2 linked regions of the Tribolium castaneum genome follow. The protein of the gene in region 1 binds, or shares a complex with, the protein of each later gene. Links are inferred from orthologs where the notes say so. Each region holds a gene or a part of one and is shown on either strand. Other genes may lie near its edges.

Region 1 (2,849 bases):
TTAAACGAGTTTACACTACCTTGGAATCATCATATTTCATTTTTTTTATTAAATTTGTATAAAATTGGGGGCTACTGGGATCAAAACTCAAAAATCAACCTTGATTTGAAAACAAAGCGCCAACTATTCAAAAATGTTTCAAAAAATTAAGGGGATTTAAAAATTTACTAAATAAATAACTAAACTAATTGAGCTGTTTTTGTTTGAAGTAATATTTACTCAATATCAAAAGTTATTGAGACTCTAGTTTTAATTTGAAAGCAGTGATAATGAGTAAGACTTGAATACCCACCCAAACGGTGTGTCTTCTCCCATGGGGACCGGCTTCCCGGGCAAGTACCCCCAATTTGAGGACTTCTTGGGGCAGGTGGTGACACACGGCCGCCCTAAATGCGCGTTCGTTTTCCGTATAGTTGTGGAGAAAAAGCAGGCACTTTGAAAATGGCTACACCGGGCTCGACCTAAATCATCAAAATCAATTATGCGGACCGCAGTCCAAACAAAACACAAATCACTTAGAAATCGGCTTTATTATCATTATAAAATTAAACCAATATACATTAAAATCACGTGCGGGCTAAAACTTATCAAAATTAGCATATAAGGTTGGATCTATCAATTTTAATCACGTAATATTTGAGGCGATAGTTGCATGCTATCAATAACGTGTTGCGGCATACAGTAAGTGGGATTGACGTTTTTGATTTCGGCTTGGCCGAGCAGCGATAGGGCCGCAAGGCCGAAAACAGTGTGATAAGGGTCAGGCACGTCGCCAGGCCGGTCTGCGAAGCCCCCAGTTTCGGTGTCTTGACACGCCAGAATGAATTTTTTTAATTTCTCGCCACTTATCCAATGAAGTCGCCCCAAAATAGTCAAGGAGGACAAAACCCACCACGAGTAGCAAACGTCGGGGAGCTTCTCCGGCCGGCCGTTGAGGCCCCCCGACGGTAGCTGTCTCTCGCACAGCCACCACGCTAGAACGTCCCTCTTCACCAAGTCAAGACGGTGGGTTATTGACAAAAACCCCAGACAACAGTAAATCAACCCCGCGTGGCTCTCCGACAGCGGCCGCGAGCCGAACCCTCCGTCGAAATTCATACAAGACTCGACAAATTTCACGGCGTTGTCGACGTCAACAGCGTCCAGTCTCTTGAGCAGAGACAAGGTGGCCACCGCACAAAACGAAAACCTCGTATCAACTTCGCCCCATTTGTCTCCCGTAAAACTTCCGTCGGGTTGTTGCAACGACTTGACGTATTTCACAACAGCCTCGACATCAATTGCGTCCAATCGGTCGTACATTGCTAAAATCTGAACGCCGCTCAAAGTGTGGAGCAAATGTGGGTCGTGCCCCAAGCACGCACTGATTCCGCCCGTTTCCGGGTCTTGGCAGTTTTTGATATAAGTGACGATCTCTTCCTGAGGCGAGGAATGTGTCTGGTCGAGGAGCTCCAGCGCTGTTAAGCCCCAGTACATGCCGGAAACGCGGAGGTAGTCCGTCATACCGAACTCGAAATTGTTGTCGTCTTTGCCGTAGTCCCGCAGGAATTCGATGTGTTTGTCGAAAAGTATCGTAACTGGCGCATTTTCTTTCAAAATCACGTCTTTTATTGGTGTTGCCATTGTCAAACATAACCACAATATTTGCTGTCAAGATGACAAGTGGCGTGTTGGGGTCGGTGGCTTGGCAACACTGACAGTTTGAAAAAGTTCAAAATTTTTGCCGCCCGTTTTGAAAACCTCATTGCTAGTCAAACGGTGAAAGTAACCAGTAGTTTGATTACCAAGGTAGCATTCAATCATAAATGCGGTCAGATTAATCGATTATTGCGAAGACGAAAGTAATAATAGTACAGGTTTCACTGTTTTTCGTTTCGTTTCAAAAATTTCCATTTATGGGAATTTTTTAGTTTTTTTCTCTCAGTGGTGATAATGGAAACAACTGGCGATTACTTTAGATATAACGAAATAAATAACACGAATTCAGACGAGTTTTCTGCGTTTCTTTTTATTGATTTCGCAAATTTTATGCATCCCTATCCTCGTCCATGTTTTCCACTTTTCCAACAAAAACACCGAAACATGTTGGCTTTTTATTGTCCCTCAAAGCAAAGGTTCCAGCGTGTTTTTTCACTTGTTTAAAATTCGTTGTCAGTTAAATAATGCAAATTAATTCGTTCCAATTGTAGGTGCTGAAAAATGGCAAAATTGCGTGAAAGTGTGAAGAGCAGGAAAAATTTTCCACCAACACGCTAAAGCCACCTCTTACACAATTAATTTTCCTCGCTAATATCAACCATGCCTGTCAGATTGATATTTCATTTTTTCCTCTTCTTACAGCTTTTTTGTCATGAAAAAGTTGACAGTGTCGTCTCTTCAAACAGAGTTTTTAATTAACAAACTTTGTTTTGAAGGGTTATTTAAAACGCGAATTCCCCTCTAACTCGAGTTTGCGTTGGTATAATTGATAATTAAAATGTTAATTAATTGGGCATCGAGGAGGAGACTACGAAAAAAAACGAGTCCCTTGAAGGTTTGTTGCCTGAAATTCCTACAGCTATTACACAAGTCAAGTTAGCCTCACGTTTTGTGTATTTTAGGAGATTTTGAGATCTCATAAGCCATTTTGATGAAATTTTTACCAGATATAATATTCGCTGCAGACGATTTTTTGATTGGGTGCCGCTTTAATTTCTTATTATTACCTCATTTTAAATATAAAAATTTTGATAAAAATTTACGAAGAAATTCCCAGGACACGCTTTAGCTATTACCCGTATCTTTTTTAATTGTAGACATGCAACTATCAAAATCGATTAAAGTACAATAATTAAAATTCTCACCGATTT
Region 2 (2,812 bases), on another chromosome or scaffold:
CTCGTTACTCCGATTTTATGCGAAATTGGGCGAAAAAAGACCCGCAGTTTTGCCAAAAAGTGCACGAAAAGCTCACCGAGTTGGTCCAATTGGCTAAGCAGAGTAAACAAAAGAGTCGTTCGTATTCTTTTGAGTCAATGAACAGAGATAAGAGACATTTCGTGCACGAGTATTGTGAGCATTTTGGGTGTGAAAGCGCCGCCTACGATGCGGAACCCAACCGAAATATCGTTGCAACTGCCTTTAAGGACAAGTCGTGGTTGCCGAGTATGAGTCTATTGGAGTTTATTCAGAGGGAAAATGGGCAGAGGAAGGTTCCAGGGCCGGTTCTGAGCAAAGGGACGTTGGGGAAGTCGGAGACCGTTGCCTTGAAATTGCCTGGAAGGGGGCAGAGGGGAACGCCATCAGGAGAGACCGTGGATTATTTCGATAACCCCCCAGTGTAATGTTTTATAACGTATTATGTTTAGTATTTTTGAAGGTTAATAAATTGGTTTGTAAAAATCCGGTCATTACATTTATTGTCGTAAATATACATTCAACATTTAACGGTTATTAGTAGGAATAATATATGAACATCCAAACTTCCAGGCTGTTAAATAATTGGGGTAAATAAGGAATGATTTAACTAAACGTGCAACAGCTGTTGGTTTTGCGAGCCGTTTTGTAAAACGCCTTTGACTGTATACTTAAACCTTCCGACTTTGACACCAAATCGTCCAGCTTTTCGCCGCGTTGAAGCACACTTTCAATTGCGTGATGCTGGAAAATTAGTTGTGGAAATTGTCATTTGACACAACCACTTACTAGAATTATTTTAGTCTCATCGAGATCCTCTTGAATTTTAGTCATAGCGTCAGCTTCGCGCGGATTTTGGTATTTGGATAAGTAAGTGTTGAGTTGCGGAAACGCCACTTCGCGTTCTGTTAAATTGGGCCAACTTGAAGCCGGGATTTTTTGGCTAAATTCGTCCAAAATCTTTGTAATTAAAGTGTGTGAGACCCGTGTTGGGTACTCGTGATCTGATATAACAACGCCGGCTAAATTATCGGATCTCACATAAACGTGACACATATACTCTGAAAAAGTGTTACATTATTTGTGTAAATAAATGCTTGTGGAAAAAACCTCCTTCCTTTACGGACTGTCGTGACGCTGGTATTGTTCTCTCGACGATTGTTTTACAAAAAAAAGTCATGAATTCTTCCACTGATCCCCGTTGAAAAAAACTGAAACTTTGTAGGTCAAAGGCTGATTTTAACCATGTTGCACTCGTAGGTCCTTTATACAAAACACTAATACAGTATAACTTGACCATATTTAACGATTTTTCGGGAATTAGAACGGAATTATATAAGACATGCCATCGTACACATTTCTTGAGCTTTCTAAAAGTTAAATCACGAATAGGATTTACGCCAAAGCAATTAAACAAACATAATTTGCCAATAAACACGAACGAATAATAAAATTTGACAGGTGATAATTTTTGACTGACGGATGACGTTGAGCCAGGTCAACCAACCTTCCTATTTTCCTATTTTAATTGAATAGGATAATAATTAAAAACGGAATCATATAAGAGAATAAATTACAAATAACAGCACCCGTGATTTTCGCTTTGAACTGATTTGTCCCGTTTTTATAACTTGTATTTTCCAAAATTTTGGTAACCAAAACCATACACGGTTACCAACAACCATTACTGCTGTCAATTTTGATAAAAGTTTTAAATAATTAAAGATTTTAATTAATGCTTGACCAACACGTCTAATTTCTATTAACACCGCAAGTAGGGTAATATGGGGGACAGCGGCATTTGCAAAATCAAGCCCGAGTAAGACTGCTCATTTTCCCACGTGATATAACCCCACATTTCACCCTTATTTTAGATTTATTCTCACAGAACGTCCAAGAGAATTGGCATTAGAGTGCGTTTCTGATAAAGACAAACGCAAATTGGCCGAAAACGATGAGACACCGCCCGAAAAAAAACCCAAATTATCAAAAAGCGAAAAGAAAAAATTACGGGGTCAGAATAAATCGCGCGGTCCTACTTTTAGGTGCACCCGAGAGACGGAATTATGTAACACTTTGATTAACTTAAGTATTGGCGAAAAGGCGCCGAAATGTGAACGCAAAAATTGCCAGTTTTTGCACGACGTTGACGAATATTTGAAAATCAAGCCAAAAGATATCGGTTTATTTGTGCTTGTGCATTAATTTGGGCTTAATTCTTGGTTTTAGGAGAGATTTGTTACAATTATGAAACTTTCGGACGGTGTGGCAGAGGTCTGGCTTGTAGGTTTGGTTCTAGTCACATTGACCAAGGCCGAAATAAAATCAATTCGGAAAAATTGGTAGAAACAGCGCAAGCAAAAAATCAGTTAACGCACGAACTACAAGTCGCGTTACGCAAACGGACGTATAATTTTGACTTCGCCGAGAGTTTAATTAAATTCAATGACAATAAGAAAAGTGTAATTATTTTGTACTACTTTTACTCGTTTTATTTAAATTTGGGTGTTTAGGACGATAATAAAACAAGTGGGGCCATTAGTGATGAAGACTTGATTAAATTGACTCAACGAGAAAAAAAAAAAAATCGACTGGAGGGACAAACTAGTCTTGAGCCCTTTAACAACAGTTGGCAATTTACCGTTCAGACGAATTTGTAAAGAATTCGGGGCTGATGTAACCTGCGGTGAAATGGCAATGTGTTCTTCGCTTCTGCAAGGGGCCCCTCAGGAGTGGGCCTTGGTGAAGCGCCACCACAGTGAGGACATTTTCGGGGTTCAATTGTGCGCAAACA

The links. Proteins that work in one complex are often made in the same cells at the same time.
Region 2: the proteins of RabGGTb (region 1) and Ykt6 are in contact, whole or in part, in a crystal structure (PDB 6J7F), measured with the Homo sapiens proteins. The link is inferred for Tribolium castaneum from reciprocal best matches to the Homo sapiens genes RABGGTB and YKT6. Residues at the interface, in NP_004573.2 of Homo sapiens: Thr3, Pro4, Gln5, Lys6, Asp7, Ile9, Lys11, Tyr37, Leu45, Trp52, Leu236, Asp238, Cys240, Arg281, Gly283, Asp284, Met285, Asp287, Phe289, His290; in NP_006546.1 of Homo sapiens: Lys60, Gln62, Asp63, Leu65, Asn83, Glu84, Tyr85, Pro86, Ser87, Leu153, Asn155, Thr156, Glu158, Arg189, Lys190, Cys194, Cys195.

What each region holds. Positions count from the first base shown.
Region 1 is NC_087395.1:14,839,396-14,842,244, forward strand, and holds RabGGTb (geranylgeranyl transferase type-2 subunit beta), read right to left. Parts: upstream 1,682-2,849; 5' UTR 1,624-1,681; coding exon 622-1,623; 3' UTR 512-621; downstream 1-511. Other genes in the region: lipase member H-A, read right to left, coding at 293-461. UniProt on the Homo sapiens protein: Catalyzes the transfer of a geranylgeranyl moiety from geranylgeranyl diphosphate to both cysteines of Rab proteins with the C-terminal sequence -XXCC, -XCXC and -CCXX, such as RAB1A, RAB3A, RAB5A and RAB7A.
Region 2 is NC_087398.1:3,641,790-3,644,601, reverse strand, and holds Ykt6 (synaptobrevin homolog YKT6), read right to left. Parts: upstream 1,470-2,812; 5' UTR 1,319-1,469; coding exon 1,129-1,318; intron 1,080-1,128; coding exon 808-1,079; intron 763-807; coding exon 625-762; 3' UTR 505-624; downstream 1-504. Other genes in the region: stc (protein shuttle craft), read left to right, coding at 1-446. UniProt on the Homo sapiens protein: Vesicular soluble NSF attachment protein receptor (v-SNARE) mediating vesicle docking and fusion to a specific acceptor cellular compartment. Functions in endoplasmic reticulum to Golgi transport; as part of a SNARE complex composed of GOSR1, GOSR2 and STX5.